Arabidopsis thaliana: one gene and its partners. The protein of the gene in region 3 interacts with the protein of the main gene of each other region in a pairwise test. Each region holds a gene or a part of one and is shown on either strand. Other genes may lie near its edges. The genes, in order: PAP1, TT2 and TT1.

Region 1 (4,228 bases), 8.5 Mb from region 3:
TTTATTTTAATAAACGAGAAACACTACAAAAAAAGTTAACTGCATTTAGATAATTTAATAAACTAAAATATCCACATAAAAATTTCAAATTTATCAAAAATAAAACATCAATTTGTTTTTTGTTTTAAATTAAAGATTTGCTATTGATTGCATAAGGAAGAAAACTTTACAAAGCCGAAAGGCCTAAGAGCCCAACACACACAAAAGAAGAACCATTTTGGATCAAGGGAACCGACCATGGGTATTAGAAGTAGTGGTATAAAGCCCATCATATCCCAACACATAACCCACGAATGTTTAATATTAAAAGTTTGTTGTTCGGCTCATGATTAGCGATGATCATACAGAAAGTTTGTATCTAATACGTGCCTTGAATTTTATGTGTACAACAAACAAATTAAATTATTCAAAACCATAAATTATAAAAAATAATTACAGAAATAAAACTATATTAAGAGCGAGCCTACCATCCGGTGTGCAACTTTCTAGTTTATATACAGTGGCGGATCAACGTTAATGAGGCAAATTGGTTCAAATTCATCTAAATAAGACTAGAGTTCACAGGTTCGATTCCTCCTTATAACAATTTGCTCCCACCAATTTTTTTTGCTGGGTCCGCCCCTGGTTATATATATACTTCTACACCAGGTTTGGGTTCGAGTCCACACATAATTAACGACACAATTATAGTGCACGATAGAATGAACTAAAACAGCTAGAGCGTAGAGGGCTCATTGTCTATAAAAATCCTTCGTTAACTTGCAAGAAACCAAGAGTAGAGGGCTCACACTTAAGTCTCCTACATGACGATTATATTTCGTCAAAAAGAAGCAATTAGTTAGCTTTACAGCATATCATTTCGCCTAGGTTTTCCATCGTACACGTAAATTTTCATGCAAGAAAGCAGAAATATACAAATACTAACTTTTAGATACTGAAAAATGAGATCAGATTCTAGTCAAATTTTGTTAAAAGTATTTATAAATTTAAATTGCAAGTCCTCAAAAAGTACGACTAAAAATGCTTTTCTTAGAAAATGATAATAAACCGGCGTTTTATATATAAGTGTTTCTTTTTCTCTTCTGTCCAGAAGTAAATCATTAAGAACCAATATGGCTTTTCTTAAACTAATCTCCGTGATAATCAAATCTTTGATCATTCTCCACACAATCCCATCAACAACATCGATCTCACTAGATGCACCAACAATGATTCTAATCGGCACTACTAACTATAGAGATAGTTGTCCCAAAAAAAAAAAAAAAAACTAACTAGAGAGATAAATCATATTCAATACATGTACTATTTCTACTATACTTAAGAAAATTTGTATACCACTATCTTAACTCTTAACACTGAACATACTATACACTATCTTAACTCCCAACTCTTGTAAAAGAATATCTAATTTTAAGAAAAGACTTCAAATGCTTGTTAAATTTCTAGTGAAGATGCACATTCTAAAAACTGGTAAAATGGTAAGAAAAAAATATATAAAAAAATAGCCTTATTAAAATTTATATCTCCTATTTCTCTATCCAAACTACACGGATGAAGCTTATTGTTATTCATCCACCCTTTTTCTCAATTCTGTCCTATTTCTTGTGCATGAAACTTCTCCATCTTGTAATCGGATAAATCATACCCAAATTTTTTCTTTCTGAAAACATATATACCCGAACATTAATTACTATCGTCCTTTCTCCTAATTTTGTTAAGAAACATGTTTGTTTGTTTTTAGTACTGAAAAAGGATGGAGATACTTGCTAGATCCTATGAACCTTTTCTCTCTAGGACAAATCAGTAACCAAACAATAACTTAGCAAATTAAGCACGACAGCTAATACATAAAATGTGGATATCAAACATGCACGTCACTTCCTTTTTTCCGTCACGTGTTTTTATAAATTTTCTCACATACTCACACTCTCTATAAGACCTCCAATCATTTGTGAAACCATACTATATATACCCTCTTCCTTGACCAATTTACTTATACCTTTTACAATTTGTTTATATATTTTACGTATCTATCTTTGTTCCATGGAGGGTTCGTCCAAAGGGCTGCGAAAAGGTGCTTGGACTACTGAAGAAGATAGTCTCTTGAGACAGTGCATTAATAAGTATGGAGAAGGCAAATGGCACCAAGTTCCTGTAAGAGCTGGTATGTTATTTACGAACACACACACACTAACCGACACACACACACACAAATATGAATATCTATAATCACTACCAATAGTCTTCGTTCTCTCTATTTTCTATTCAGAAAATTGATTAATACCCGGTATTAAAAAAAAAAAAAAAAATTTGTTTAAATGAGTACAAATCATTGTTACAACTTCTTTATGCTGTTTTTACATGCTATTAAAGGTTGTGCATGAAAATTTCTTTTGCTGTTCGTATTTGTTTTACACCTAAACGAAGATTTTTACTTAAAATTAAAGAAAAAAAATTATACTAATTTTAGTTACGTTGCGTATTGCTAGCTTCTCCTATAAAGTCGTTCAAATTTTTACACGCTTGTCTTCTTGTAAATGAATTCGTGGGAAAATTTTGTATGAACACGTGTTTCTGTGTTGGAACAGTTCTTTATTTTTATTGGTGTGCATAGATTCTTCCTGATAAAATATATAGAAGGAGACAAATAAAAAACAGTCTTAGTATGTAGGTATAATCAAAGAATCAATTATTGGTTTTGTAGGGCTAAACCGGTGCAGGAAAAGTTGTAGATTAAGATGGTTGAACTATTTGAAGCCAAGTATCAAGAGAGGAAAACTTAGCTCTGATGAAGTCGATCTTCTTCTTCGCCTTCATAGGCTTCTAGGGAATAGGTATTAATTGTTACCTCGATACTACTTAACTCGGAGAGTCGTCATAAGTTAATACTAATAACATATGTATATTTTCTTACAATTGTTAGGTGGTCTTTAATTGCTGGAAGATTACCTGGTCGGACCGCAAATGACGTCAAGAATTACTGGAACACTCATCTGAGTAAGAAACATGAACCGTGTTGTAAGATAAAGATGAAAAAGAGAGACATTACGCCCATTCCTACAACACCGGCACTAAAAAACAATGTTTATAAGCCTCGACCTCGATCCTTCACAGTTAACAACGACTGCAACCATCTCAATGCCCCACCAAAAGTTGACGTTAATCCTCCATGCCTTGGACTTAACATCAATAATGTTTGTGACAATAGTATCATATACAACAAAGATAAGAAGAAAGACCAACTAGTGAATAATTTGATTGATGGAGATAATATGTGGTTAGAGAAATTCCTAGAGGAAAGCCAAGAGGTAGATATTTTGGTTCCTGAAGCGACGACAACAGAAAAGGGGGACACCTTGGCTTTTGACGTTGATCAACTTTGGAGTCTTTTCGATGGAGAGACTGTGAAATTTGATTAGTGTTTCGAACATTTGTTTGCGTTTGTGTATAGGTTTGCTTTCACCTTTTAATTTGTGTGTTTTGATAAATAAGCTAATAGTTTTTAGCATTTTAATGAAATATTTCAAGTTTCCGTGTTTACATTTTGAAGAAAATAAAATATTAATATATTCTGAAGATTTTTGTTTTTTTTTGGTTATCTACATGACAACAGTAAAAATAGAAAAAAAATCTTATTTTTTGAAAAAGGTATGTATCCGGTGTTTAGAATACTTTCCGAAATCAAACCGCCTATATTTCTAATCACTATGTAAAATTGTAAACCAATTGGGTTAAAACTCAACTAACAAACTTTCTAAATAAATGTCATTTTTGTTTTCAAATATGATTGAACTCGGATTTAGGAGTTTTACCCTTCAGTACCAAACCTTCTCTACCGACCATGTATGGTTGGGCAAATGTCATGTTTTACAATGTTTAGATTACTAAACACTTTGGTTGAGAAGGCAATGCTTTATTTATATATTCTGAAGTCATGTTTTAGTGTTATTTTTATTTATTTTTAAATGCATAGATTGTTAACGTGCAGATTCTCATATGGGCTTAGTTTCTGGATTTTGATTATCAAAACCGTATTCCACTCTTAAATGATTACGACAAAAAAATCAATACTACTAACAAACCTATTTCCCAGTTATTAATTAGTCAATAACAATTGTCAAATTTAATAACGTACTTGCTAGTAATAAAGTTTTAACGACGATCATAGATAGGTTTTTGAAACCCATACTCGCAGAAGTTCTGATACAAAAATTTGTACTCCCTCTAT
Region 2 (3,563 bases), on a different chromosome or scaffold from region 3:
AGATTTTCCAAATATCTCTATATTATTCCGCAAATCAAAACAAATCTAACATTCGATTTACTATGCAAAACACAAATGAAATATAAATAATATAAATTAATAAAAAAAATTTAGTTATTATATCATAAATAACACTATACACTTTTCTATGCACATTATAATTTATACACTACAATATCTTTCACTAAAAATGTATTCTAATACATTTCTTAAAATATGAAACCCCGCACGTATGTGCGGGTCAGAATCTAGTTTCCTTTAAAATACAAACACTTTTTGATGTCCAATAAAATACATGATTTTTTAGTATCCTTAAAATACATAAACTTCTAAATTGTACCCATAAAATACAGGAGATAGGGGGAAAATCCGGAATATTCCTTTGTTTTGTTTTTCAAATATGTACTGGCACATGACTTAGAACAACCATGCATCTAGTATTTATTTATACGATGATTCCAAAAATGAGAAGAACAAATTCCTTACATTAATGACTATGCCTGCCTATAAATAGACTATACATGTATATTCTAGTAATATTTCGTAATAACAAAATTGTAAAGTTGATTCGTATTACCAATAATTCACAAGTAGAATTTATAGGTTGGGTGGTTAAGCGGTGGTTAGGTTATAATAAAAGCTCTATCATTTGCTCATACATAAATTTACAAAATCTATCAAAAATATTTATGTCGTACGTATTTGCAATAATAAAAAATTATTAGTTAAAGACAAAACCCATTTCTATAACATGTGGATCGTATAATTATTTGTATTTCTTGGTCTCCTTAGTAAGTTAGTAATTAGAAGCGTTCAGACAAATACAGATATACTTTTGTCCGTATAGAGAAATATGTATTAACGTAGGTTTTTGCAATATAGGCTCAACAAGTGAAGTCTCGGAGCCAATCTTCATCGTCGCCACGATGATGACAAGAAGTGAAAGGTCTATTGAGATCGAGATTACCTTGAGCAGGAACCAACTCTCCCAAAATCTCGTTAGATGAAACAAGAGATGTAACGTTTCCACAGTCCAAACCATCAAAATCCATCAAATCCGGGAAGTGAAACTCCGAATGGATCCTATCGAAATCGAATTCGAGATCTCCCATCAACGAAGATCCACCTTGATCCATCTCTTGTTCTTTCAGAGGTAGTGGACTAGTACTACTCTTCTTCTGAAGAGAGAGATCCGAGAAGAGAAGAGTCTTTGAGCACCTAATCGCCTTTGTACGTATAACACATACATTATTCTCGTTGTTCGTCGAATGTTTTATACGTTTTGGTTGCTTGGTTTGAGTTTTGGGAAGTCTTTTGCGGAGGTTTGAGTTCCAATGATTCTTTATTTCATTGTCTGTTCGGCCTGGAAGCCTCCCAGCTATCAACGACCATCTGCTTTAATTATAATGTCACATAACAAATAACTTTACTACAAAAAGAAAATTCTATGTGGTTAGTGAAAAACCTGTTTCCAAGAAGATTATGGAGACGGATTATGAGTTCTTCTTCATCAGATGAGATGTTACCGCGCTTTATCCCCGGTCTTAGGTAGTTCTTCCACCGAAGTCTACAGCTTTTGCCACACCTCTTGAGACCTTTTATGTGTGCCAAGACAATTATTGTACGTAGAAGATATAAAGACGGATCGGTAGATAGAGAGATTAGTACCAGCTTGGTTAGGGAGAGTGCTCCATTTGCCTTCGCCGTGAGTGGTGATGTAATCTCTAAGGATCTTGTCTTCATGATCAGTCCAAGCTCCTCTGTTTAACTCTTCTCTCCTCACACTAGTAGTTGCTCTCTTTCCCATTCTCACTTTTCTCTCTCTTGTGGTTGTGTGGTTGGTACAATTGTCTTTAGTGTTGTGTTGAGAATAGATTCTGTTTTTGTGTTTAGCTGAGTATCTTTATAGGGGAGTTGTTGATATGTCCGTACATCAGTCGCTTTCTAAAACCTCTGTCATACACACTTTGAAATTTTAATGCTTTCTTCACCTGGTAATAATTAGCTTTGGTGAGGTTAATTTTACCGAATTTTAACATCTACAAAGAGTTTTTCTAAGCCAAGTGTGAATTTAGGCCTGGGAGTTCGGCAAATCGGTTTAATCGGGTCGGGTTATTCGGTTTTAGGGAATTTCGGTTTTTGGAAATGCTTCCGAATTAAACCGAATTTAATTTCGGTTCGGTTCGGTCGGGACTCGGGTTTTTCAGGTCGGTTATCTAGATTTATTTAACTTCCGAAATAAAACTGAAAATTTTCATATTCGGTTTATTTGAACCGAATTAGACATGTATCAAATACGGGAAAAGGGTATTTTCATACCCGTACTATTTTCTGAGTGTATTTTCGTATCCAAAAAAATTTGTTGGGTATTTTCATATATTAACCGCATATTTATTTGAATTTCATACCTCAACTTAAGAAAAAGTACAAAATTCAGAGTCAAAGTAACGGGTGTTAGTCAACTCCGTGAAGATGATAAGTCAGCAGACACATGGAAAATATGTGTCTATAACGACGTCGTTTTACGTTATGAACGTTTAAAATGTTAAATTTGTTGGGTAGTTTCATATCTAAACCGCATATTTATTTTAATTTAAAAAAAAGATTGCTAGGTAAACAAAGTATAAGAGAATACATGGTCACACATACCTACTATACATTGTATATCCAGCTACACGAAGTAGACACGAAGTAGATGTATTACATGACCACATATATGAAGTATAGGACGTCATGTGGTTAACACCATTGACATACAATTCCGGTAAACCGGTCAGTTGACTCAGGCTTTGACTAGTGTTGACCGGCGTTGACCAACAAAAAAATTTAAAATTATTTTTAATACTCAAAAATACGAAAATATTTTTTTTCTTTTATATATTCAAAAACATATTCTATATTTCGTAAAAATATATTTGTATTTTCAATGCATTAAATCTTATAATAATTAGTTTTATTTTTAATTTCAAAACTAAACTAAAACTAGAATAAAAATCATTATTAAACTTTAGATTAAAGAGTCATATACTCAATTGTATTAGGAAGCAATATGAAATTGAGTATATGACTCTTTAATCTAAAGTTTGCATGGTAAAGAAAATTATAATATTTTTTATATACTCTTTAGTCTAAATTTATTTTTGTATACTATGTAGTTCCTTTTGTAACAAATATTATTAAGAAAAGTTCTCGTAGTAACACATAAACAACCAAAAACTTGCAATTTTTCTTTTTAATATATAAAAAGATAGAAAATCTAACAATGTTGATTTCAGCAAAAAAGTTTTTAAAATAAAATTCATTTGTATTACGTTTTATTCTAATAATTTTTGTGGTTGATTTTTTTTTATAAAAAATATTGTATAGAAATAATTGAAGTGTTTTAATTGACACTATAAAAATAAGCAATTTCCTTACTTAATTAACTATAATAATATTTTCCTGTTTTCATTTAAAATTTAAAATTTAATAATGATTTTTAATCTATTTTTAGTTAAATTTTGATTTTTTTTGTAAAACTAATTTTTCTAAGATTTAATGCATTGAAATATAGAATATGTTTT
Region 3 (4,201 bases):
ATAAAAATATGTAAGTACGTGATCAATTCATTATTCTTATAAAATAATTTCTTCTTTTTTTCTTTGATGCATATTAAAACAAGCGTTTATGTCAACAAGACATTGATCTAGAAAGTATTTCAATTTAACCAGACTAGCTAGATCAACCCAAATACATACATTGGCTATATATTAGGTCTTTCGACCAACATATATATCAAATATTTGGTCTTAAATTTAAAAGAATAAAAATATGACTTGGAATCATCATCAACAACTGTTGCAAAACTTATTTACAAACTCAAATTTTTAATTTAAGAAAAACAACTGCAATTCAATAACAAACTAACAATCATACAATGTACCATCAAAAAAAATATTTAAAATGTTAAATGTTAAATTAAACAAGATAAATACAAACAAAAATAGCAATAGATTAGTTGATTTCTCAATTAAATTCAAGAATAAAAATACACAATGAGATCAGTTGATTTTCCAATTAGAAAAAAAAAATTCAGGGGTTTTATTATTGACAAATATTAAATATTTCTTTTTTTTGTTGAAATTTTCCCAAAGCTTTTCTTGAATGAGATTACATCATAAAGAAATCAGAATATTCAAGTGCATATGCATGGTCAATTTTGTATTGATCTGTTTTTAATATTTGATAAATTCAAACCCTATTCTATCTTTAACGAGACAATTAATGATAATTTTCTCTGAATAACATTTGTAGTGATGAAAAATATAATGGTACACTTCGTGTTCCTAATTTGGAACAATTAGATACCACATTATTATTTTTCTAAAGTAAATAGATATTTCATAAGCGAAAGAAAAAGATGCCCAAATTTAAAAAAACAAAGTCTCGGAGACAGATGAATTAGAAGCCTGCTCTTCAAACAAACCAGTTGGATAAGGCCCATGACCAGACCCAAACGCCTTAACATGGTCCTTAAGAGAACGTTTGTGTTTAAAATCAGAACCGCAAACGCAAACCCAACGTTTTCCACAATTCTTCTCATGTGTTCGCCAATCGCCCTTGACAGCCAAAAGCTTACCGCAAAGGCGACACGAGAAGGGTTTGTGTCCGTGTTTGCGTTTGTAGTGCGTTTGGAGCGTCCTAAAGTCTTTCAGTGGCTTGGAACGAGGATGGTCAATGTGGTTCCTGCACCCTTCAACGCAGCAGTAACAAGGGATCCCTAACATGGCTCGTGGCTGTGTGCCTTTCAGTGACTCCGGTCCTTTCCTGTATTGTGAACCATGTCCCCACATGTGCATCTATATTCATAATATTTAGAGTCAACAAAAAACAAAAAGGTTTCCTTAAGTAATAAAATGAAATAACATGGTTCCTTAAAATCATATTATTGACCGAGCATAGTAATGTTTCATTCAAGAAATCTGTGTATTTAAGTTTGAATCAAATGTTTTGACTACTATGATAATATATATATGAGAAAAGAAAACTATTAAAAACTATAGTCAATCAAATCTTAGTAGATAATTTATTTCAACTTTTTCGAATTCAGCTTTAGTTAAGGCATTAAATAAATGTAAAGAGTTGTGATGAATTATTTTCATGAAAACATTACCATAAAAATATATATTACCAACTCTTCTTACAAAAAAAAGTAATTAAATCACGATTAGTTGACTTGATTAAATTTGTAAATTGTATAATAAGATCCAAAGGTAAATCATCTATTAAATCCTGGTTGTTTAGCTTTTATCAAATAAATTCAGAATTATATATATATATATATATATATATATATATATATGTATATATATAGATATGAATAAACTCATAACATTAGATCCGGAGATATAACTCTATAAGATGAATTTATTATATATGTTTGTGCATGGAAAAGCAATGCGCATGAGATATATTGACTCGTACCTGAAGATTGTTGTAGCGATTGAATGTCTTGAAGCATACATGGCAAGAAAAATGAGTGAACCCTATGAGAATTTGCTCCGGCGCCGGGATCCAGTATGCCTTTCCGGAAAGTTCATTCTCGATGCCTTTTCCGGCGTCATATGTGGCGATCTCCTTCCCATTTCTCTTCTTCAGCTGTTTAGCATCATTGCTTGGTTTACCAAAACCAGGAAGGCCGATGTGTAAGTCCACGTCCACTTCACGGTCTTCTTCTTCTTCTTCTTCCTCCTCTTGCTCTCCTTCTTCCGCATACAAGGGATTAGGGTTTAGGTCTAGGTTTGAGTTCAAGTTTATGCGATCAATAAGCGGTAAAGGCTCAATTAGGGTATTGTTGATACAAGAGTTTTGGTTGAGGTTAGGGAAGAGATCAAGGGATTGGAAATGGTGTCTAGGTTTTTCAGAAGAAGAGCTTGAGGATATCTCGTATAGTGGTGGTGACTCCATTGAATGTGGTGAATAGTTGTTGGAGAGAGATGAAATGTTTTGAGAATCTTTTCTTTATTCCTTTAAATCTTGACTATATATAATAAAATTAAATTACCTTAATATAATGATTGCTCTCTATGAAAGTAATTTAATGTTTGCAATAACTTTTATAACTAATAATCATGCAGATACGTAAGTAGATCCCACGTATCAATCGTCTCCTTTAACCTACGAGAATAAAGATTGATAAATATCGAATTTACCGAATAATATTGGATGAACTATATAGGTTTACGAAAGTCGAAAGCAAGTGTGAACAAAACGAATAATGTGTAAAATAATTTAGAATCATATTGTGTGACTTACGTACCAAATAGAGAAGTGAGTAAATGGGAATCTTGGGGAATGTGAGGAGCAGACACTTGAGAATGCATGTGGTTGAGTGAAAACAACCTTTGTTAAGAAGTAATTTAATCTTCTCTGTCTCATCTCTTTGCCTATAAATAGAGTGGAAAAACAAGAACCTTAAATTTTGTGGACCAAACTCTTCAAGATTTTGGCAACTTTGTCATTGCAGGGTTTTGACTATCTTTGGCATTTACGTAAGCTTTTAGCTTTTCTACAATACAATTGTATTAATTTTAATCAATGAAATTTCGGATTTGGGTAATGAAATGAATGCTAATGTTGAATTCATATTATTATTATTATGGAAGATGCATTATTATTATTTTTTTGGGTTATGTTTTGTATGTATGTAAGTTGTTTAATTCTCTCTCTAACGGTCAACACCTCTGGTTTTGTAAACACTAGATTTGACATACCAATAAGAGAAAAGGAATAATTAATAGTATATACAAGTCAAGATTTAGTGTTAAATCTGTTTTTACAAATGTACACGTTTCACTAAAAGAATTTCTTTGCAAGGTTATTAACTTAGTACATATCAATAATTTCTGCCTAGTCAAATATTATGCCGGGTCTCCACAATTCAATATTCATACTAGCCAATTATTACCACTATGTGTGAAGATTTTATTTCTTTTAGTTATTTTGATTGAAAGTAGAATTATAATATTCCCAAAAACTAACATAATTTTTTTATTATTTTATTATTGTATGTTATTTTTCTGATCAAGTATTACTTCTAATATACTGTATACATGCTGATTAGATTTTCTTTATTCAAATATTTAACTTCAATGTATTGTATTTAAAAAAAAACATTTAACCAACGTAGTCGTAGTCTAGCTAGTGGATTTAAGCGTTTTTTTTTTTTTTTTAGCTGAGACTTTGATTCAAGATAAGAACTACAAAATGGTCTAAAGCAACGTGGCTAATTTGTCCGAAAAAACAAAACAAAAAAATATAACCCATTATTGTTCACGAAAGAGATTGTGTCAAGTCAGTTGTTAGAGTCCTACAGAATAGCATAATCATGGTCCATGGAGTAACCAAATTAGTAGAGTAAATGAATTTTTCAAGTGGATCAAGTCGAATCTCTGTAGGTTCAAACTCTAATTAATTAATTAGTGTTATTTCACGTTAGAACTCGTTTTGCAAATACCTTCATTTCTACTATATAAAACTATAAATTCTTCGATATTTGCATATCAATACGATAATACGCATAAATTTTTAGCGTACAAGAGAATTGTGAAATTAGCAGAATTAACGGTTTACAAAATCAATGAATTTGCCAAGTTGAAATTTATGCAAAATTAATAGGGTCAATTGTATATACATGAATAATTCATGTTACATGATCAATAAAGATACCGTATTAGTTTTATTAATGGATTTTAGTACTAGCTACCAGAACAAAATCTATGTACAATATTAATTCTTTGC

What was found.
Region 1: the proteins of TT1 (region 3) and PAP1 interact in a two-hybrid assay, tested with the Arabidopsis thaliana proteins (one study listed by BioGRID).
Region 2: the proteins of TT1 (region 3) and TT2 interact in a two-hybrid assay, tested with the Arabidopsis thaliana proteins (one study listed by BioGRID).

Annotation. Positions count from the first base shown.
Region 1 is NC_003070.9:21,232,905-21,237,132, reverse strand, and holds PAP1 (production of anthocyanin pigment 1), read left to right. Parts: upstream 1-1,840; 5' UTR 1,841-2,043; coding exon 2,044-2,164; intron 2,165-2,704; coding exon 2,705-2,834; intron 2,835-2,923; coding exon 2,924-3,419; 3' UTR 3,420-3,578; downstream 3,579-4,228.
Region 2 is NC_003076.8:13,725,051-13,728,613, reverse strand, and holds TT2 (Duplicated homeodomain-like superfamily protein), read right to left. Parts: upstream 1,872-3,563; 5' UTR 1,808-1,871; coding exon of another isoform or gene 1,744-1,807; coding exon 1,466-1,743; intron 1,393-1,465; coding exon 885-1,392; 3' UTR 653-884; downstream 1-652. UniProt on the Arabidopsis thaliana protein: Transcription activator, when associated with BHLH2/EGL3/MYC146, BHLH12/MYC1, or BHLH42/TT8. Involved in the control of flavonoid late metabolism in developing siliques.
Region 3 is NC_003070.9:12,762,120-12,766,320, reverse strand, and holds TT1 (C2H2 and C2HC zinc fingers superfamily protein), read right to left. Parts: upstream 2,420-4,201; 5' UTR 2,369-2,419; coding exon 1,886-2,368; intron 1,261-1,885; coding exon 832-1,260; 3' UTR 635-831; downstream 1-634. UniProt on the Arabidopsis thaliana protein: May act as a transcriptional regulator involved in the differentiation of young endothelium. Altered differentiation results in incompetence for pigments synthesis and the lack of condensed tannins in the seed coat.